3 linked regions of the Elephas maximus indicus genome follow. The main gene of each other region encodes a partner of the protein of the gene in region 3 in a complex. Links are inferred from orthologs where the notes say so. Each region holds a gene or a part of one and is shown on either strand. Other genes may lie near its edges.

Evidence for each region. The genes of interacting proteins can lie anywhere in the genome.
Region 1: RIPK1 (region 3) and caspase-8-like share a complex: the UniProt entries of both Homo sapiens proteins name them as parts of the AIM2 PANoptosome complex. The link is inferred for Elephas maximus indicus from reciprocal best matches to the Homo sapiens genes RIPK1 and CASP8.
Region 2: RIPK1 (region 3) and ZBP1 share a complex: the UniProt entries of both Homo sapiens proteins name them as parts of the AIM2 PANoptosome complex. The link is inferred for Elephas maximus indicus from reciprocal best matches to the Homo sapiens genes RIPK1 and ZBP1.

What each region holds. Positions count from the first base shown.
Region 1 is NC_064824.1:100,030,119-100,038,096, reverse strand, and holds the start of caspase-8-like, read right to left. Parts: upstream 3,039-7,978; 5' UTR 3,021-3,038; intron 1-3,020. UniProt on the Homo sapiens protein: Thiol protease that plays a key role in programmed cell death by acting as a molecular switch for apoptosis, necroptosis and pyroptosis, and is required to prevent tissue damage during embryonic development and adulthood.
Region 2 is NC_064843.1:11,620,829-11,628,393, reverse strand, and holds the start of ZBP1 (Z-DNA-binding protein 1), read right to left. Parts: upstream 3,039-7,565; 5' UTR 2,866-3,038; coding exon 2,832-2,865; intron 2,442-2,831; exon of another isoform or gene 2,233-2,441; intron 1,954-2,232; exon of another isoform or gene 1,765-1,953; intron 1-1,764.
Region 3 is NC_064819.1:43,619,918-43,627,457, reverse strand, and holds the start of RIPK1 (receptor-interacting serine/threonine-protein kinase 1), read right to left. Parts: upstream 3,077-7,540; 5' UTR 2,796-3,076; intron 2,786-2,795; exon of another isoform or gene 2,014-2,785; intron 1,575-2,013; exon of another isoform or gene 1,499-1,574; intron 808-1,498; exon of another isoform or gene 674-807; intron 1-673. UniProt on the Homo sapiens protein: Serine-threonine kinase which is a key regulator of TNF-mediated apoptosis, necroptosis and inflammatory pathways.

The DNA.
Region 1 (7,978 bases), on a different chromosome or scaffold from region 3:
CACATCCAAACTCCCTGAGGGACTGAACTGCTGGGCTGAGAGCTGTGGGGACCATGGTCTTGGGGAACATCTAGCTCAGTTGGCATAACATAGTTTATAAAGAAGATGTTCTACACTCTACTTTGGTGAGTAGCATCTGGGGTCTTAAAAGCCTATGAGTGCCCATCTAAGATACTCCACTGGTCTTACCCCTTCAGGAGCAATGGAGAATGAAGAAAACTAAGGACACAAGGGAAAGATTAGTCCAAATGACTAATGGACCACAACTACCACAGCCTCCACCAGACTGAATCCAGTACAACTAGATGTACCTGGCTACCACCACTGACTACCCTGACAGGGATCAAAATAGAGGGTCCCAGACAGAGCTGGAGAATAATGTGGAACAAAATCCTAACTCACAAAAAAAACACCAGACTTACTGGCCTGACAGAGACTGGAGAAACCCCAAGAGTATGGCCCCCAGACATCCTTTGAAACTCAATAATGAAATCACTCCTGAGGTTCACCCCTCATCCAAAGATTAGGCAGGCCTACAAAACAAAATGAGACTAAAAGGGCACAACAGCCCAGGGACAAGGATGAGAAGGCTGAGGACTAGAGGGGACAGGAAAACTGGTAATAGGGAACCCAAGGTCAAGAAGGGAGAGTGCTGACACGTCGTGGGGTTGTTAACCAATGGCATAAAACACTATGTGTACTAAATGCTTAATGAGAAGCTAGTTTGTTCTGTAAACCTTCATCTAAAGTATAATAGATAAATAACAACAACAACAAAACTATATGGGATCAAATTGGCAAAAACAACTGGAAAGATTAGATAGGAAACTTAGGAGGCAGCGAGTTTATATTAACGGAGGAGGAATAATTCAGAAAAGAAGGATGACAATGGTTGCACAACTTGAGAAATAGAATCAAAGTCATGGAATTGTACATGTAGAAATTGTTGAACTGTTGTAGGTTCTGCTGTGTATATTCTCAACAACTACGAAAATAAATAATTAAAAATTTAAAAAGCTAAAACTATCATTGTACTTACCTACGGATTTGTAAAAAGCTACTATAGGTTAACTTTTACTTGTACTTCACCTCCAGAAAGTGTTCCCTAACTTCCCTATCCTGGTTAGCTCCTTCGACATCCTGGGATGCCCCTATTCCAACACCTGTTCTGCTGTTTTGTGATCCGTCTGGCTTTGGCCTAGCCTATGAGCTTCATGTGGGCAGAGATTGTGTCTTTCATGTCTGTTTCCCAATACATGCTAAATATTTTTAAAAAGCGGGAGGAAGGTGGCACAAATATCTAGACCATTCAATGTTCTGCCGAAAACCAGTAACAACAACAAAACAAAATCAAAAGTAAAAAAACTCTTGGCAAAAGACATAAAAATATAACCAAATCATCAGAAGGGAAAACTCATATTGCTAAAAGTATACAAAGAAATGCTCAAACTAATAAGCAGCAGAAAAATGCAAATTAAGACAAAAATAAGACTTTCCTTTAACTTTTCACATTGGGAAGTGTAGAAAAATGGAAAGTAATGGGACTGTAGGGAAAAGAGCAGTCCGATGTACTCTGTAGAGCTTACGCTGGTATAGCCCTTCTGGAAAGCAAGATGACAGGGCTTGTCAACTCAAGTTGGCACATAAATTTTGACACAGGTTTCCACTCCTGGGTATATCTCCAAGGTAAATTCTTACATGAGTCCGCAGGGCACAGATGTCTGAGGATGTTCACCGCATTGTTATTTATGGTAACAAGGAGATGAAGGCATCCAGGTGTCCTTTCCTGGGAATAAATGGACATACTCTCTGGCTACAAAGCAATTAAATTAGAAATTAACAACGAAAAATGATCAAATCAAAACACTACAAAAAGAACTATCTACATTTAGGTGGCTTTTTCAACCCATGGTGTTAGAATGACTTCTGGAAAAAAACTGAAATAGATCCTGACTATCTGTTTCAAAATAAATTGCAGCTGAATCAAAGACTTAAACCATAAAATTAAAGCACTGACGAAAAAATGGGGAGAATTTTTAAAAATAATTTTTCAGTTGTGAAAATATTTCTAAGTATAACACAAAATCTGGAAGCCATTAAAGAAAAGATTGATAAATTTTCATAAATAATTACTAAAATATTTGGTTAAAAACTGCCCTAAACAAACTAAAGGAATAAATACCCTGCACACTGGGGGAAAAAGGCAATATATATGAGAGAAAGGGGGCTGATTTTCTTAAAATAGAGATCCTATAGGGTATAAGTTAATTAAAAAAAAAAAAAGCTGTGAGGAGGCTTTTATTTTATCGGTCCTGGGTTTTTAGAGTCACTGCATGAGCTCATGGGCTAGAAACTTTGTCAGGTTAATATTTTCAAAAGAACATTTACAGTTGTATTTTTCTAATCATAAAAAATAGTAAAGTTAACAGTCCTTAGAGAAAGCACAAGGAAGTTTGAAGAAGAAAATAAAAACTACTTACAAACTTACCCTTCATAAGTAATTCCTTTGATCACATTTTAAGGGTTTTCTTTCCCATCTTATTAACATATAATTTTATGTGTACATATATTCATATATAAACATACACAAACTTAAATATTTTGCCATATAATGCATATATATTATATATCTGTTAAGTGATAAATCTGTATAAATATATTTATATTATAAAATATATGTTTTAGAATACTTATATTTCATATATTTATATCCAAAAGTATTTATATATAAATATATATTTACATGATACGTAAACATTTATAACATATATCCATATAATTATATCATCATATAAACATAAAAATATTTTTTTCTTGTATCATTTTACTGCAAGTCTATGAAGAAATTGTTAGTATCACCTCCATTTTACAACTGATTCCCTACAGATAACTCCCATGATTTCCTCGTACCCACTCAAACGGATCACCTCCATGGCCCCAAGACCACCAGATTCCACCCTCGGCAGCCTAGAAAACTCTAGAATCAAAGGCCTTCCTCCCAAAAAGCCCAGCGATCTTACCAAAGAGGCAAATCCTGGGGCCCTCACTGTGGCAGAGGCTTCTTCAGGACTCTCTTCAGTAGGCCGTGTGTTGAAAACAAGAGTAAAACTCAAACTGAAGACCTGAAGGAAGGCACAGCCCAGCTACATTTCCTGGTTGATGAAACCTCCTGAGTCACAGAGACTACACCAGGAGGGCTGGCCCCTGAGCAGGCTTCTAGACCTGCAAGAGAGGCTGAGTGTGTAGTGGAGAGAGCACTGGGCAGGGAGCCTCGTTGTCTGAGCTGTGGCTCTAGCTCTGTGCTTTTGGATGGGTCATTTTGCCTTTGGGCCCTCATTTCCACATCCCAAAATGAGAGAGTTGGGCTGGGTGGTAACTAAGAACACTTTCTTTCCATGTTCAAGGAATTTACAGATTTTTATGTCTTCATCATGAAAACTTTATTCTTTCAATAAATATTTATTGAGCACCTTTGATCTGGGCCCTGGGGCTCTGACCCTGGTGAACAAAACACAGAAACCCTCTGCCCTCATGTCACAACTCAGATGAAATGTTTTCTTTGATGTTAAAATTAGAAAGAGGAAAAAAAAAAACTCACTTTTTGAAACCGCCTGTTGTCTTTCTCAAAACAGAATGTAAGCTTTCAGAGGGCAGGGACACATCTTATAGTTGCAAGGATAAAATGAGGTGTCTAAAAGTGCCTCTTCACCTGTAGAGGGCTAGATATAGAAAAAAAAAAAAAAAGATATAGACAACATCGTAATATCGATGTCCTCAGCTAGCACTTGATTTTTTCCAGTAAACTCTAAGTGAAAACATAGCAATACCATGAAAACCTGCTAGTTAGTGGCTAACTCCAAACCCCAGGAATTATATCCTGATTTTTCCTGATGCTGCCCCAGCATCCTGAGCAGCCTCCATCTAGGACAGAGACATGAAACAGCTTCTCTCTCAGAGCCATCAGAAGGAATCAACACAGTTGATACCCTGATTTGGACTTTTAGCCTCCAAAACTGTGAGACAATAGATTTCTGTTCTTATAAGTCACCCAGTTTGTGGTACTTTGTTACAGCAGCCCTAGGAAACTAACACAGAGTTTAATACCAGGAAGTGGGGTGGTGTTGCTACAAATACTAAAATGTGGAAATGGCTTTGAAATTAGGTAATATGTAGAAGCCGGAAGAGCCTTGAAGTACTTAATAGCAAAAGACTAGATTGCCTTGAAGAGACTGTTGGTAGAATTAGGAACATTAAAGGTGATCCCGGTGAGAGCTCAGAAAAAATTGGGGAGAGCTGTAGAGACATCCTCTATCATCTCCTTGCTGTTGTTGTTAGTTGCCATCAAGTTGATTCCAACTCATAGTGATACCATGTGTGCAGAGTAGAACTGCTCTGTAGGGTTTTCAAGGCTGTGACCTTTCGGAAACAGATCACCGGGCCTGTTTTCTGAGGCGTCGCTGGGTGGCTTTTAACTGCCAACTTTTCAGCTAGTAGTCAAAAACTTAAGCATTTGCATCACCCAGGGACTCCCCCTATCATCTTAGTGAATACAAATATCATCATGAACAGAATGTTACTAGAAATGTGGATATTAAATGTGTTTCTGATGAGGGCTTAAAAGGAAATGATGAACATGTTATTGGATGCTGGAGGAAAGGCAATCCTTATTCTAAAGTGGCAAACTACTTGACTGAATTATATTCAAATGTTTTGTGGAAAGCAGAGCTCAGAAGTGATGAGCTTGGATATTTAGCTGAGAAGATTCCTAAGCAAAATTTTGACAGCATGGCCTGGTTTCTTCTTCCTGTTTATAGTAAAATGAAAGTGAAAGAGATAAATCAAGGATTGAACTATACAAAAAGGAACAAAAACTTGAAGAGCTGGAAAATTCTCAGCCTGTCCATATTGTAAAAATTGAGAGAATGTGCTCTGGAGAGAAGAAGAGTATGGCTGGACAACTGTTTGCTAAAGACATTAGGAATGTCACTTAATATTAGGATCCAGGGAGGTGGCCCAAGATGGCAGAATACTCAAGAAGCTTCCTGTGGTCTCTCTTACAATAAAGGCTTGGAAAAAGCAAGTGAATTGATTATATATGACAATCTAGGAGCCCTGATCATCAAAGACAAAGTTGAGGAATCAAACTGAGCGGCAGGGGGGAGAGAGAGAGACCGTTCAGAAGTAGCAAAGTGGCAGTAGTGAGGTAGCTGGCACCCTACAGGCCTGTTGGCCAGAGCACTTGAGCTGAGGCTAGCAGCACTCTGGACGCATTTCCCCATGTCGGGAGAGACCAGGCAGTGACAGTCAGTACAAGCCTCCAGAGCCAGAGGGAAATGACGCTGGACCTGCAAAAGTGCAGCATCAACCTACCCAGAGGGATCAAAATAACCTCTTCCCCTCCAGGATTTTCACAGCAGAGAACTGCTATTTTCCTCTCACCCAGCCCCCTCTCCGCTCTGCTCAGTCACCAGTCTAGCAGTATTTAACAAATGCCATGCCGCCTAAGCTGGAACTAAGGCCTCCCAAAGCCCAAATCAGTCTTCCAGCTTTAGGAAAAAAAAAAAATTATATATATATATTAGGATTCAATCAGCCTTCTTAATAGAAATGTCACCGGCTTAGACTGAAGGGGCTAAAGACAGGATGAAAAGAAGTAAAACTGTCCAACTCCTGGAATGCTACAGGCAGGAAATGGGCTGATGGTGCTGCTTGGCTGCAAACATTTGTTGCCCTTCAAGAAAAGGAAAAGATGATCCCCAGAGCAATTCAGAGGCCAGCAGGGCTGCCAGCACAGGTTTGGAGGGCTGGGCTGCCACCTTCCTGGTTACAGAGGGCAGAGCCGCCTGTTCAGTTCCAGGGAGATGGGCATCAGAGCAGAAAGACTTTTGCCTCATTACTGCTCCAATTCAGAACCAAAGCCACTGAATGAATGGCGGGTGAAAGACCAAGAATGAAGCAGGCAGTCATGAAAGAGTTATCAAGGGTTATTAACCATCCCGTAGTAGTTATTTTTCAGAAAAATCTACTGTTGCTACATTTTTGTTACAACTTTTACAGCACTTCACCATGATTGGTCTGATCCCCAGGTTTCTTGTCTTCTCCTGGCAGGAGGCCTAGGCACAGGTGCACTGACTCTGAATCTACCCACTATTTGACCTTCCTGGGTGACAGCAGTGAGCCATCGCCATTTTTTTAGGGCCGTGTGCAGTATTTTTAGAGCCCTGCACAAAAACCCATTCACTAAAATTATGCGTACTGTGAATGCATCGAAAGACTGAAGATCCTCCCCTCACTGTTCATGTACGTATGTTACTCCCTATAAAAGGAGCAAATCTGCCCTGGTTCAGGGAGCTGGCAGCCTTAGGTCACGAGACCCTGCTTGTCTCCCAGTTTGCAAACTGTGACTAAACCTTTCTATTCTTCCAACCCTGTGTCTGGCTGACTTCAATTCACTAGTTGGCCTGACAAGAACCTATTAGATGACGGCTTCAAGAAGAGGAAACAATCCCTTTCAACTGGAAGCCCTCTAATTATGAGTCATCCCTAGCTGCAGGTGACATGAAAGTTTTATATCTGGACTAGATTTTTAATAACTGAATATGAGCCACAACTATCTAAATAATATCTTTCTTACAACCAAAAGAGAGTCTAAAGCTATAGGATCTACCCTATGTCTAACCAGGGCCATCACTGAAGACTTGTACCATCACTGAAGATAGGGATGGGAGAAAAATGAAAGCCCTTCCTGTTTGTGGCTGGGTGAGTTCAGCCCAATCAATAAGTACTAGCTGTTTTTTTAATTTTTGTTTTGCACCTCTTAGTCCACCACCTTGGTCTACTGGAATCCTGCCCCACACCATTCCAATCTCCACCCACATTCCCAGGCTCTGAGCTGCACTCCAATCTCATGGTCTTCAGACCTCTCCTCAAGTCTTTATCTCTAATTCTTACTTCCCCTCCAGATAAACTAACTTTCCTTCTTGTCCCTCTGACATATCCCTCAAGTATAAGTGTCATTTACAGATTCTCTAACGCACATGGTCTCCTCTAATGTCTCCTTTGATTTGTTTTCTCCAATTCATTCCCTTTATCCACGTGATCTCATTTGGTCAGTGGAACCCCTACAAAATTATGGTTTGGAGTTGTTTTTCTCAGGCAAGTGGGAGTCTCCCTGCAGGAGGGCTGTGTTCAAACAGGAGATGCCTTGACCCTGGTTCTCCTCACAGACCGCAGCTTCCACCTGGAGCTCCCCTGTGGGGTCTGCCTGGTTGGTGCCCCTCCTTTCTCTCTAATACCTCAGTACCTTCACAAAGCCTTCCCTACCAAATAGAGGCAGTCACAGAAAAAAACTGGGAGGACGTACCTAACAGCAAAATGCTAACAGTGATAATCTTTAGATGGTTGGTTTATAGTCAATTTTTTTTTAATTATCTATATGTTAATATTTAACATCCTGCATTTATGTTCTAATGTATCCCAGATAGCTTGAAATCTAAATGTATTTGTGATCTGCAATCTAAATATATTTGTTTGCTAAACATATCTGTAATTGACATTTTCTTATCTATATTTTCTAATTTTTTTCAGTTACCATATATTCTTTTTGTAATAAAAAGTTTTAATTTAAAAGCATTTTATGTAAATATAGATTTTCATCACCCAGTTTCTGGTATCCTCTCTAAAGCCTATAGGCAGGTGGTCTTCATATTTTATTTAGGTTCATGAGCCCCCCCTAGATTTTTTGTTTGTTCACGGCATGATGGTTAATTTTGAAATCATGAAATTTTGAGGATATTCTTAATATACAGCACCCAAACCAGCATATATGATGCTTGTACTCTTTGACACAAAATCAGAAACCAAAGTCTTCAAACGTTTCTTCATTTTTGATTTGTAATCTGTCCCCTGCTGAAACAACACTTCACAGTTTCAATACAGTATGGTCTGTAGGGGACAGAAGATTCAAGATCCTCTTTTC
Region 2 (7,565 bases), on a different chromosome or scaffold from region 3:
GAAGTAGCCCTACGGTTAACCTCCATCTCAGCCAGAATCCTGATAGACATTCAGAAATAAATCTTTCCCCTGAGGCCCAGGAGACCCTACTCCTGGGTCTCTCTCAGATCTCAGCAGCCTGAGCATGAATCTGGATCCTTCTGCACCTACAAGGTCCTGGTCTCCACCTCCCTGACTTCCCTCCAGGTGTCAGCCCCACTTGCCCCTGGGTCTTTCTACATGTTCCTCGGCCAGGGACACTCAGCCCTCTCTTCCCTGTCCAATGACTGGACCTCCAGCTCTCGCTGACACTGTCTTCTTGGGAAGCTCAGCACAGGTGGGTGCTCTTTGTGTGTGGATCCCCTGAGAATGTCCCCAAGGATCCCCTACTGTAATCCCCTGAGGCATCTGGCCTGTTTCCTGTGGCACCTCCATCTTAGCACAGTGCTGGACACATAGTAGGTGCTCACGAAATGGCAGTGAGCAGGTGAGTGAGTGAGTGAACGAGTGGGTGAGTGGGTGGGTGAGTGAGTGAGTGGGTGGGTGGGTGGGTCAGTCAGTGTGTGAGTGAGTGGTTGGTGAGTAAGTGGGTGACTGAGTGGGTGTGTCTCTACCAGGACAGTTGTCCTGGTTGGTGAGTGAGTGGATGAGTCAGTGGGTGAGTGGGTGGGTGAGTGGGTGGGTGAGTGAGTGGGTGAGTGAGTGGGTGGGTGAGTGAGTGGGTGAGTAAGTGGGTAAGTGGGTGACTAAGTGAGTAGGTGTGTCTCTACCAGGACAGTTGTTCTGGTCGGTGAGTGAGTGGATGAGTCAGTGGGTGAGTGGGTGAGTGAGTGAGTGGGTGGGTGGGTGAGTGAGTGGGTGGGTGGGTGGGTCAGTCAGTGTGTGAGTGAGTGGTTGGTGAGTAAGTGGGTGACTGAGTGGGTGTGTCTCTACCAGGACAGTTGTCCTGGTTGGTGAGTGAGTGGATGAGTCACTGGGTGAGTGGGTGGGTGAGTGGGTGGGTGAGTGAGTGGGTGAGTGAGTGAGTGGGTGGGCGAGTGAGTGGGTGAGTAAGTGGGTAAGTGGGTGACTAAGTGAGTAGGTGTGTCTCTACCAGGACAGTTGTTCTGGTTGGTGAGTGAGTGGATGAGTCAGTGGGTGAGTGGGTGAGTGAGTGAGTGAGTGGGTGGGTGGGTGAGTGAGTGAGTGGGTGGGTGAGTAAGTGGGTAAGTGGGTGATTGAGTGGGTGTGTCTCTACCAGGACAGTTGTCTGCCCAGCTGACCCAGGGCAGGGTGTGGGTGACTCACCATGGACCAGCTGACAAGGCCTCAGTTCTCCTGCCCTGACTTTAAGGAGCCCTAGGCAGCCCACCCCATCACCCCTGCTCCTCCCCAGGGGAGGATCTCAAACGTCAAAACTGGCTGCTCTGCAGAAAGCCAGACCCAGAGGATTAAGTTGGGTAGAGGTGGTACAGGCACGCCCTGGAGCCACCAGCTGGGGAGAGCCCACAGTGGGTGGAGGCCTTCCTGTCATCAGGAAGTACCTCACCCCCAAAATCCCCAAGGGAGGCTCACAGTAGGCCCTTTCTGGGGCAGTGGCCCACCCCTTTCGATCTAGGTTTTTCTTTCCTAATGGGACGCTCCTTTAGGTGTCTTGGCTCCCTCGGGCAGGGCTCAGTGGGGGAGGGGATAAATGGAGCTCCCCTTGTGATCAGGGAAAGAGCAAGTACAGACCTGGGAGTGCTGCCCCTTCATGCAAAGTGACACCCCCAGTGGGAAGTGACACCTCTCCAGCTGGCTGCACACCTGCTCTTTGGCTGGTTTGGAGGAGTTTTGGTTCTCGCAACGCCTGCTCAGGAGGTTGGCTCCACTTCACCTCTCCCTTTGTCTCCTCCTAACTTCCCCGACACCAAAGGAGAGGTGGACCCTGAGAGTCAGTGAAACCAGAGCCCTAGGGCTGGCTGGCTCAGGCTCCTGTGTGCCCAGCTGATATGCCTGAAAACGGATGTTGTAAAAGGGACCGAGTGTAAGCGACCAGTTGTAATGGAACGGAAATCAGCCAGAGGAGAAAAAAAGTGAGAAAAGCCTTTACCAAGTGCCCTTGCCTGTACCTGCAGGGGCCCCACACTCTGCCGGCCCCCTCCCCAGCACACCCTCTTCTCCTTCAGACCCTGTAATGGGTGCTTTCCCAGGGTTCAGCCACTTATTAGCTGTGTAACCACTCAGTGCCTCAGTTTTCCCCATCTGTGAAATGGGAATAATAACAGTGCCTACTTCAGTGAAGCGGTTCCACTCTGTCCTATCGGGTCGCTATGAGTCGGAATTGACTCCACGGCAGTGGGTACTTCAATGATTGTCGTAAGGATTCAACGAGACAAGAACTTGAAGCACCTCCAGGCACAGACCACGGGGCTTAGTGAGTGCCTGAGCCCAGGATTCAGGCACCATTAGCCTTTGCGGTTCTTCCAGGAGGAAAATGTTATCTGAGGCAAGAAGGAAACGGGGGAGGGGGGGACACACTCACATACACATCTTATCAAAGCAATGCCCTTGCCTCTCAAAATGAGTATAAAGAACAGTTTCCAAGCCCAGCTCCCACACTCGCCAGCTGTGCTAGCCCCAAGAGAGTCCCTTTGGCTGTGTCATCTGTAAAGCGCCGCTGCAGGCTGTGTTGCCAAGATGCAGGCAGGTGTGCTGTGAGGTGTCTAGCACATAGTCAGCTCTCTAAACAGACTCTCCTTCTTCCTATTACAGGTGTTGTTTAGGATACTGTTGTCATCACCGCTGTCATCTGGGCCAAGGAAAGGAGCCAGAAAGAGAAGCTCATATCCCACCCTGACCCCCAGGCTTCTTTGGAAGGAAGAAGTAACTACCTTTTTCGCCTGGGTCAGCAGGGGTCTCGGCCATACTGAACGGTGGCCCCGGGCTCTTGGTCTGGTGAGTCCTTTCGTGGGTGAGTCCGGTGCTTCCTGTGGTTCTTCACTCATAAGAGAAGTCAATTCTAGCTGGCGGATGTCAGCTGCTCACATCTCGGAAACAGGCCTAGCCTGTCTGGTTTCCTGCCAGCCAAACCTGATGAATTTTCTACAGAAACAGAAAGTGAAGCTTCTCCTTGTGGATTTTGAAAGAAACGAAATTGAAACCGAAGATTGATAGGCGGGACGGGGTGGGGAGGATGGGCTTGGCATGACCACAACAGCCCAGGGAGCTCCCGCACCATGCCCAACCCCAAAGCACAGAGGAGACGTTCGTGTGCCTATCAAAGTGACAGCTCTTTTCAGTGAGCACCTACTGGGCACTCCCAGCCTTGTGTGCCCCTCTACCTGGGCCGGTATTGTCTTCTTTCCTTGGAGGGGAAGCTGAGGCTGGGCCAGCAAGGTCTCAGCACAGGCAAAGGCAGCCTTACCTGCTACTGCCATGTGTTCCCTGGTCTGTAAAATCCAGACGTCTCGGGTGAACCACTCTCAGCTCACAGACCACATCAGCTTCCCAACCTCACGCTAGAACCTGCTGAATAATGTCAGCATAACAGATTAGAAAACACCTTCCTGTGGTCACTTCACAAATATCCCCTGAGGTTAACATCTGGGGGAGGGGGTACTCGGTGGAGCCTGGAGCCAGGATGCTTGGGTTCAAACCCAGCGCCACCATCTACTGGGTGTGTGACCTGGGGCACGTTACTTAACCTCTCTGTGCCTCAGTTTCCTTGCCTGTAAAGTGAAGTTAATACAAGTACCTGCCTCACATTGAATTGTAAATGTGGAAGTTGTTGTGTTTGTAGATGCTATACTCTGTGTATTTTCACCACCATAAAAAAGAGAGAGAGAAAAAAGAAAAAAAAGTATTCACTTTATGGGGCCCCGATCAGACTAGATGGGTTAACCCACTGACCAACCTCCCCCTCCCCGCGGTCTGCGATCATAACCTCATCTATTTCTCTAGTAAAAGGACTTTGATAAATTTTCAAATTTGGGGCCGGTGACCCCAAAGCAGTTCAGAACGACCATTCTCTTCCAGGCTACACAAGGGGAAACTGAGGGCAGCCCAGAGGTCAGGAGCTCAGCCCCAGAAATCTCTGGACTCAAGGAGACCCAGGGCTCTCCTCTGAGTCTCAGCACAGAGGGCTGGGAGGGTTTGCAGGTCCATGCGCACTTGGGGGACCCCTTCCCCCAGCAGTTCTATGCAAGGAGGGGCTTAGGGACAGCAACTGGGATGGAGGAGTCCTGAGGTTCGCTTGAATGTGTCTTTGCGGAGCAGACAGGAGGTGCCCACCTAATCTGAGCGATTCCCAGTCCTGGCTGCAGGTTAGAACTGCTCAGGGAGCTTTAAAAACCACTGGTGTCTGGCTGCATCCAGACCGTTAAATCCGCACCTGAACGGCGACCTCATAGCAGCCGAGGTAGAGAGTCAGCAAGTGTGGGCCAGGTCTATAAAAACAGCAAACCACCACGACATTTAGTTCCCCTCCATGTATAACTGAAAAGGAGCAGGTGGTTTAGGGTACTCAGGAGGTCACAGAGGCGCCCTCGGGAGGGTCTTGGGTGCAGCCCCCAAAGGCAAAGCGGGCAGCGGAGAGGGCGCAGTGCCAGGACTGGCCACCAGGTGGCGCCGGCTCACCAACCTGGGCTCTGGCACGGTCGCTCCCGGACCCTCTGATTTAGGAAAGAGGACCACCACCTCAGGTGAGGACACCCTATCCTGCCCCCCGCCTGGCCCCCGTCCGTCCTCCGTTCTTCAGACTTCCTGTCCTCGCATGTGTTGATCCATCATTCTTTCTATATCTGATAGAGTCAAGATCCCAGTTCTCTAGCTAAACCTCTCGAGGGATCCTCAGCCCTCATCGGACCGGCTTCTCTGCGACCACTGGCCCTCGGGAATCTTCTCTCCTCTGGCCTCCAGGCCTCACCCCTGGGTTCTCCCTCCTCCCTGGCAGCTCTGCTCTGGCTCCTTGGTCGGGTCCCTGCCTGCTCCTGATCTTTCAGGGTGGAGACCCAGGGCTTGTCCCTGACCCTCTAGGTCCCCAGGGGACGTAAAGCTTAATCCTGAGGCTCTGATGTGCTTCTAGAAAGACCGCTGTGCTGCACTGGGGGAGGCTGGTGCCCTTCTTGACCGGTTATCTGGCCTGTGTTTGGAAGGTCCCATCCTGTCCCCACTGCCCCTGGAGCTGCTTCTAGGAGCTGGGAAGGCCCAGCACCCCAGATGAGCCGCTCTGTCTTGCTTCCTTCCCAGCACAGAGTTGGAATGCAGCTCCGCGCCTCCCTAGCTGTGTGAGGCCACCTCTCTGAGCCTCAGCTTCCCTAACTATAAAATGGAGAGAATAACTAGCACAGAGCATTGCTTTCTGGCATGTGGTATGTGCTCGCAATATTTGCATAAGTTAGAAAATGTGACGTGATGTGTCTGTACAAAATAACTCCAGGCACTGAGAAAAAAAAGAAATAATTAGATTTTAAAATAAGAAGTAAATAAGTAGGTTTTTTAAAAGGAGAGAGGAGAGAAAACCATTAACGTGGTGGTTTCCACCTTCTGCTAGATTCCTCACTCCACACATGTGGAAGGGAAGCCCAGGATCTGCTGTGAGCATCTCACAGGCACTCACTGCGATCCTTACACTTAAAGACTTCCATCATCTTGTATCTCTCCTCTTGATTTAAAAGATGTTCAAGGTAACAATGACTATAAGTGATTGTCTCAAAGTTCACAATACAGATGCTTCTTCCTTTCTCCCATACCGTCTGGGAGGTGGTCTAGGTTCAGTGTGGCACACTCTGGTGTCAAGTCCCAGGATCCTTCTTTCTCATTGCTCTGCAGCTTGTGGCCTCCACTCCCAGGCTTGCCTTATGTTCTAGAGTGGCTGCTCAAGCCCCAACCATCACATCTGCATTCCTGCCAGTGGGAAGGAAGAAAGGGAAGGAGAGGAAGTATGTCTCCTTTAAGATCACTTCTTGGAAGTTGCATCTACCTTTTGCTGACATCTCCTTGTCCAGAGCTTAGTCTCATGGCCCCATGCATCTGAAGGGATGGTTTTTACTCTGGGTCACATGAGCCCAGGTAAAATTAAAAACTAGTTGCCATCAAGTCATTTATGGCTTGTGACAATCCCATGTTTATCAGAGTAGAATTGTGCTCCACAGGGTTTTCAATGGCTGATTTTTCAGAAGTAGATCACCAGGTCTTTCTTCCGAGGTGCCTCTGGGTGAACTCGAACCTCCAACCTCTTGGTTAGCAGCTGAGTATATTAACTGTTTGCACCACCCAGGGACTCCCAGATAAAACTGGGAGTTCTATTACTATAAAAAGGAGCCCTGCTGGTGCAATGGTAAGTGTTCAGCTGCTAACCAAAAGGTTAGCGGTTGGAACCCACCGTTGGCTCCACAGGAGAGAAGACCTGGCGATCTGCTCCATAAAGCCTAGGAAACCCTGTGGGGGCAGTTTTACGCTCTCATACAGGGTTGCTATGTGTGGGAATCAACTCGATGGCACCCAGCAACAACAACAACATGACTGTAAACTAAAGGACAGCGGATGTTGTGGACACCTAGCTGTTCCTGCCACTGTGATGGTCCCCTAGGTACAGAGCCAGGCTGCCATCTCCATGCTTTTACACGTCTGCTCGCTGGAAGCTCCCTATTGAGCAGGTGCTGTGCTGAGCTCCAGGAGGCTGAGTTCAAGCGCAGCTTCTCAACTCTCAAGAGTCTCCAGTCCAGTGTGGAAGGCGAAGGGGAAGAGGAAGGCAGGCAGGTGTGGGGACCTACTCCCGCTCCTTGGGAAAGGACTTCAAAGGTCGCCGCAGCTCCAAGATGGCGCCCTGCCTGCTGGAGCCCAAATCTTTTTGCCTTGGAAAGCACGCTTTCTTTCCACGGCTTGTGTTTTTCTGGAAACTACTAGAACTCTCCTCCCAAACCAGATGATAATTACATGTTACTGATCTCGAGTCTTTAAATTTCTCTCTCCGCCTTTTAAAAGAGATATTTTTACTGCACATTGTGTTGGCAAAACCCAAGTCTCCTTTCTACCAGGCAGCCTGGATTTTATTTTCAGATTATCTCTGTGAATTCACGGCGGGGAGACAAAAAGGTCTGAAGGCACTGAACGTGGATAATTACTTGTCCTGGGTCGGGGGCAAAGGTCAGAGACGCAGAGGTAGCGGGGGAGGAGGGCTGCCCAGGGTCACATGGTGGCGGCCATCAGTGAAGCCAAGCTCGGCACAAAGACCCAGCAAAGCAGGTATGTTCAAGGTGTGGGCTTTCTGCTGTGGTCCCCAGGGAAGTGGGTCCTGGCTGCTGTCCAGTGTCCTTCATGGTGTCCCCATTGTTCCTCTGTGTCCGCTGGAGCTGGACAGACCTGGGATTCTGGTCCTGGTGCCTCCACTTCTTACCTCTGTGCCTTGAGCAAGTCACTAACTTTTCTGAGCCTCAGTTTCTCCTTCTGAAAAAGGGGATCATAGTAGTGCCTACCACATGAGGAGGCCCCTGGGTGGCGCAGATGGTTTGCACTCGACTCCTAGCCTAAAGGTTGGTGGTTCAAACCCACTGACCAGCTCAGCGGAGGAAAGGCCTAGTGAACTGCTTCTGTTAAGATTACAGCCAAGGAAATCCTATGGAGCA
Region 3 (7,540 bases):
TACACTAAAACATCCTTCACATAATAATACAGTAGTAATAATAATAATGTTTTGATGCGGGTCACAAAGTAGCGCCTGTTTGTTATTACAAACCACTGTATGTACCTCAAATTTTTAATATAATGGCTTTATATGATATTAAATATACACTTAATATAATATAAAATTCATAACTACATGTTGTACATAAGTTGATGTTCATAACCCAGGGGCTGCCTGTAGTCAATTTTGTAACCACTGAATATCTTAGGAAGACCTTGAGAGTAGTTTAATGAGGGATACCCAAGAGACACATAAACACTAACTGTAGGCATGCAAAGAACAGCATTATAAAGAATAGTTAATGACGGCACACTAGCTTGTGAAAACATGTTATGATAACCGATTTCAACTAATGATGTAACTGGGTCCATTTCAATGGAATCTGTTAGTGTTTCTGCACAATGGCTGCTATGCAAATGACTGTTAATTCAAAAATGGCAGTTAAATTTTTTTCCCACTGAAGTTAATAAGAAATTTCACAGATTGCTTCCCAATGCAGGGGCAAGTCTGAATACCAAAAGATTCATATTTACCTTTTAGTGGTCAATTTTTTCACCTAATTTATTTTTTCTTTATTTTTCAACTATGACCCTACATAACAAGCGTGTGACAGACAATGCTGGTTGCCTACCTATCTGCCATTGCGCCCCCTCTTCTTATTAACAGAAGCTGATTTTACTCAGGTATCCAACACAACCAAAAGGCTTCTCTTTAAGGTTTCTTTATTTTAATCTTCTCATGCTTAACCCAAGACAAACAGGAATTCTAAGGAAGAGCCAAATGATCAGTAAGAGACAGTAGGATTGAAAACTTTATATCAATTATCCCATCATGACCCAGTGAAATAAGTTCTTTACCATCATTCTTAATTTACAAATGAAAAAACTAAGTTAAGTGATTCACCCAGAATGGCCAATCAGGAATCAAACCTTTGTCCCTTCACTCCAATTTCTATCATCCATTCTCTAGTTTCTCTGGATCGCAAACAGTGACTTGTCTTTGGAAAAATCCAGATGCAGAGACCCAACCTGACAGCCTTGCTCACCTGTATGAGTCTGCTATAGTCAGAAACACAGGGAATGCACAGGCTAAATTCTAAAAACATGAAAATACATAGCTCAAAACTCAGCATTATACAAGTTAAAATAACCAGTTGCCACGAAGCTGACTCTGACTCATGGTGACCCCATGTATGTCAGAGTAGGACCGTGTTTTCAATTGCTGATTTTTCACAAGAAGATCAGACCTTTCTTCCGGGCAGCTCGGGGTGGACCTTCAACCTTTTGGTTAGAAGCCAAGCTCATTAACCACTCAGGTTAATATACATAGTCAATCACTTTTGCCAGAATAAAATATCCAACCAAAGCATGGGAAGCTAGATTTGTTTTTCAAATTCCCAGATTATATCAGCAGTGTTAACATGTCATGGATTAATAAACCCAAAATAGTAGCTCACCTAGTTTGGAAGTTGATAGTTTGCCAATTTTACTCAATACTCATTAACATTCAAATTCCTGGAAGTACAACAGATCCTGGGGCTCAACATAGTTTCAGAAAGAAGAAGAAAAAAAATTAATCATTACTGCTGTTGTTTTCAGGAAGAATAATGATGATACACTCCAAATCTCATTCTAGGCAAGCTGAATCCTCCCTTTTTTGTATAGAAGAGCCACAGTCTTCCACATTTTTAAACCAACCACAAGTCTCTCCGACTCACGCACCTCTACGCTGGTTACAAAAAGTCCACTGAGTACTAAGTTACTCAGTATTTCAAAGTTCACTCCTTGCCTTGGTGACTTCAGGAGTAAATCAGGAAGAATTAATAGTGATCTAAAGACCAAAAAAAAAAAATTTTTTTTTTTTTTTTAAGACCCAAGGCTTGCTCCAGCGTTCTTTGATTATAATAGCCCCGTGCTCTGCCCAATATAAACAAGAGCTCTGAACACAGAAGAGCCAAAGAAATCAACAGACCCCGGAGCCTTGTGATTCTGTCAAATGCTTAGGAGAGGATGATGCAGCGTGTACTTTTCCGAACGCTGACGAGATTTTGGAGCACTTCACAAAACCCAAAGCCACGACGACAGAAGATTCCTTCTAGGGTTCTCACACTCGCTCTCTTGTTGCTGTGGCTGTTGACCGCTCCTTTCCCATCTGCCAGCTCACGTCTAAGATAAAGAGAAATGCTGACGTCTTTGCAGCCTGTTGAGGCTCCCTGTGCGACAGGCCCTTTCCAAGGGTAAGTGAGCAGTCCCAGCCAAAGACACCTAAGGAACCCTGTTATGGCAAGAGCACGCGCTACTCTTAATGATCCTGCAATAACACCCTGCATCGCTACCAACACAGCACAAGTAACAACCACAGCGTCTGTTCGCAGTCCCATCGAGATGGTCGCCCCAGACCAGGTCGCGGCCCTGATCCGGGACTCGAGCCCACACCAACACTTCCTCCTCTGAGGAAGGGGCGCGCAGCCCTGGCCGGCCGCGGACCCCAGGGCGCGTCTCGCACACCCGCCTTCCGGGAACGCGCGCCCCGCCCGCGCCCGCACGCTGGATTCGCTTTCGTTTTCGCCACCAACTTCCTCCGGCCCGAGTGGGGAGAGTTAGGGGTCGCTGACGCGGCGGCCTCTCCAGAGGGCAGCAGGGAAGGGAGCCCAAACCCCCAAAAGGGGCCGCCCTGATATAGGGCTCGGGGGACGGGACCGGCCCGAGGAATGACCGCCGTTCACTCAGCGCCGCCCCGCTAGGCACGCTCACCGTGCTCGGCTCCTCGCGGGCCCCAAGGCCTGGCCTTGACCACTGCGCACGGGCGCCGCGGGCTGCGGGCCGCCGTCTTCGATTTGCGCTTCGCAGGGTAGCCAGGTCCAGAGGCCGCTCCGTGCGTGTCGAGTGTCGGCCGCGCCCAGGGGTACTCAGGCGGGAGGCGTGGACCACTTGCAGCTCCTACGCTGCTCCGCTTAGTTCTCCTCCTGATCCTTTTCCACCTCTGGCCTCTCCTTCCTCAGCAACTCAACTTCCTTCTCCTGATCTTCCTCCTCCTCCTCCTCCTGCTCCTCCTCCTTCTCCGGCCCCTCCTCCTGCTCCAGCTCCTCCTCTTCCTACTCCAGCTCCTCCTTCTCCACCTCCTCCCCTTGATCCTTCTCTTGCTTCTCCTTCACCTACTCCTTTTCTCACTCTTCCTCCTCCTCCTCCTGCATCTCCTTCACCTGTTCCTCCTTGTCCTCCTGCTTCTCCTCCTGGTCTTGGTCCTCCTGATCCTCCTCCTGCTCCTCATCCTCCTCCACCTGCTCCTCATCCTCCTCCTGCTCCTCATCCTCCTCCTCTCCTCCTGATCCTCCTCCTGCTCCTCATCCTCCTCTCCCTCCTCCTGATCCTCCTCCTGCTCCTCATCCTCCTCCCCCTCCTCCTGATCCTGCTCCTCATCCTCCTCCCCCTGCTCCTGGTCCTCCTTTTGCTGTTGGTCCTCCTCCTGCTCCTGATCCTCCTTCTGCTCCTGGTCTTCCTCCACCTGCTGTAGGCCTCCTCCTGCTCCTAGTCCTCCTCCTGCTCATGATCCTCCTCCTACTTATGGTCCTCCTTCTACTCATGATCCTCCTTGACCTTCTCCTCTTCCTTCTCCCCATTTTCTTCCTCCTGCTCCTGGTCATCCGACCTGCGCGGGAAGGAGGGAAGTGGACTCTGGCCCTACTAGCAGCCAGTGGGACAGGAGGAGATCTTGAGGGAGGAGGGGGGTGATACCCCTCATACATTCCCAAATGTCTTTTCACCACCACTCTGAGATTGTGCCCCCAGATTGAAAATCCCAGAGCACTGTCTCTCTTTACTTTTAGAGATCCCCTGTCAGCTAAAGGATGGCGATTTTAGTTCATGTTAAGGAGAGTTGAAGGGCCAAAGAAAAAGTTACCAACTCATAGAAGCCTCTGTGACATTGAAGAGGCGCTTGGCATAGCTGGAGCACTGGGTGGGTGGAGATGGTCACTGCCAGGTGCAATTTGAGTTCTAGAACCTCAGGCCAATTTTCTCACTGAACTGCCTTCATTTGTAAAGTGAGGCTAATAAAATCCACTCTGCAGGGCTGCCCGGGAATGAATCAGATATTTATTGTGCAGCCCTTTACAATGGCAATTTGAAGACTGAAGCAAAATGAGAAATATATGCTATAATGTTATCTTAAGGAGCAAGCTATAACATTGTATACACACCTTGATTAGGTGTGGTGAAAAGAGATAGGCATATGGAAAAAGATGGTAGGGGCATTATCCACTCAGCAACATTTCTGACCATCTGCTGTGTGCCAATTAGACGCTAGATACAGTAGTTTCTGGTGGTAGATACAAGTGATACAAAAAAGCACTCATTCATACAATAAGAATTTCATACATAAATATTTACTGAGCACCTGTTGTAGGCACTGGAGATTATCCTGTGAACAAATGAGACAAAAATCTCTACCGAGAACAAGATGGGACCCAGCTACCACCACCAACTGCTCTGACCCAGAAACTGCTCTGGCAGACGTCACAAAAGAGAATCCCAGAGAGATCGCAAGAAAAATGTAGAATACAATTCGAATTCACAAAAAAAGACCAGACTTGTTGGTCTGACAGACACTGGAGGAAACCCCACGAGTATGGCCCCTGGGCACTCTGCTAAATCAGAACAGAAACCACTCCCGAAGCCTACTTTTCAGATAAAGATTAGGCAGGCCTATAAAATAAAAATAACACATGTGAGGAACATGCTGCTTAGTTCAATCAAATATATGAGACCAAATGGGCGACTCCTGTCCAAAAGCAAGACTAGAAGTCAGGAAGGGACAGAAACTGGATGAATGGACACAGGGAACCCAGGGTGAAAAGGGGGAGTGTGCTGTCACATTGTGGAGGTTGCCACAAGTGTCACAAAACGATATGTGTATAAATTTTTGAATGAGAAATTAACTAGAGACGTAAACGTTCACCTAAAGCACAATAAAATCAAAAAGAGAAAAAAAAAAAAAACCCTACCCTCATGGAGCTTACTTTCTAGTGGGGAAGACAAAAAAGAACCACAATAAGTAAATTTTGTCACACGTTAGCAATGAGTGCTAAGGAAGAAAAGAGAGCACCAGAGCTGGATAGGAAGCATGCATGGAATTATGAGGGTGTGTCACAGAGTTAGACGGGGTGGCCAGGAAAGACCCCTGTGAGAAGGCAACGTTTGAGCAAAAATCTAGAAGGAAGCTGGGTAGGGAGCCGTGAGGATATCTTGGGGTCAAGCACATTGGGAAGAGACGGAGAACAGTAAGGGAAAAGCCTGTGAGGTGGGAGCACGGCACGTGGGTGCACAGCAAGGAGGTCCTTTTGAAATGAACAAGATGTAAAGTAGTGACAGAAGGTGAGGTCAGAAAGGTGGGATTGGCAGGGAGGGGCAGATCGTGTGAGACCCCATAGGCCATTGTAAGGAGTTTGCCTTTACTCTGAGTAAATTGAGGGTTTGGTGCAGAGGAGAAGCTTGACGTAAATTACCTTACAATAGAATCATTCTGGCTACTGAGTTGAAAATAGGTTGAAAGGGGCAAGAGCAAAGCAGGAAGACAAGTTAGGGGGCTATTGCAACAAGGCAGACAGGATGAGGACAGCTTGGGCTAGAGCGATAGCAATGGAGGTATAGAGAAGTCGTCAGATTTTTGATAAAATTTGCAGGTAGAGCTGACAGGATTTGCTTAGAGATCAGAAACAGGATGTGAGAAATGAAGAGTATTCAAGCATAACTGGAAGGTTTTTGTCCTGAGCAGATTGAGGTATAGAGTTGCTGTATATACAAAGATGGGAAAAATAGTGAGAAAGCAAGTTTGGGGCATGTTATGAATTGAGCTGTGTCTCCCCCAAAATAAGTGTGTGTATCCTAACGTAAGTGTTGTAATCCCGCTTGGGAATGGGTTTTCTTTGTTATGTTAATAAGACAGTATTAGTGTAGCTCGTGTCTTAAGTCAATCTCTTTTGAGATGTAAAAGAGATTAAACAAGCAAGCAAGAGGGCAGAGATGGGAGAAGAAAAAGGCCAAGCCACATGAAGATCACCTAGGAGCAGAAGCTCAAAAGAGAGAGGACCTTCCTCCAGAGTGTGAGCCGGCACCCTGAGTTTGGACCTCTAGTACCCTGAACTGTGAGAAAATAAATTTCTCTTTATTAAAGACACCCATTTGTGGTATTTCTGTTATAGTAGCACTAGATAACTAAGGCCAGGCAATATCAAGAGTTCCATTTGAACACGTTCATTTGAGACGCTTACAGACATCCAAGTGGAGATGTCGAGTAGGTAGGGAGGTATATGAGTATAGGGTTCAGGAAAGAAATCCAGGTTGGAAAGTCATCAGCATGCGGATGGTATTTAAAGCTATGAGGCAAGATAATCGAGGGAAGGAATATGGATAGAAAAGAGAAAAGGTCCGAGGAATGAACCCTGAGGTTCTCCAATGTTTAGAGGTTGACGAGATGAAGAGGAGCCACCAGAGAGGTAGGGAGGAAGCCAGGGCCGTGTGGGCTCCTGAAAAGTTAACAGTTGTGGCAGATGCTGCAAACGTGTCAAGTAAGATGTAGACTGAAGATCCATCATTGGATTTGGTAAGATGGAAGTTGTCAGTGACCAGGTTAATGTGAGGTTTAGTGGTATGGTGAGAGCAAAAGCATGTTTGGAGTAGGTTCAGTAAATGTTGGAGGAGAGGGGGAGACAGTTTAGAGACAGTGACTATAGTCAAATCTTTAAAGAAATTTTGCAGAAAAAGGAATGAGATTGATAAGGCAATAGATAGGTAGAGTCAAAAACGAGCAATACCCATATTTAGTCTAAGGCACTTTACAGCTCAATGGAGAGGCATCTTTCAATAAAAATGGAAATGTTATATAACAAGGGCTATGATAGAGGCAAGTACCAGATACTATAACAACCACAAAAAATATTGGTCTGACAACAATGAAATTAAACTAGATATCATCAGTAATGTCAAGATAACTAGAAAATCTTCCAATATTAAAAATTAAGCATAACAATTCTAAATAACCAATGGACCAAGAAAAAATTATATTAGAAAATATTTTGAACTGAAATGATAATTAAAAATATGTATGACGTATATATAAATAAATGTATGTATGACATATAGTATGTCATATGTATTTTTGTGGGATGCAGCCAGAGCAATGCTCAGAGGGATATTTCTGGCTTTAAGTTCATACATTAGGAAATAACAATGGTTGAAAATCAATGCTATTAGTTTTCTCAAAAAGGTGGAAAAGAGAACAGCAAATCAGGCTCAAAGAAAATGCAGTGAAGATCCAATAAAGATAAAAGCAGATATAATTGAAATAGAAAACAAACATACAATAGAGCAAATCGAGAAGAACAAAAGTAGATTCTTTGAAAAGGCTGAAACTGACACCCGCACCAAAATTAACCCAGTTTAAAAAAAAAAAAAGAGAGGGAGAGAGCACTGATATCAGGAATGAAAAAGAAGACATCAAT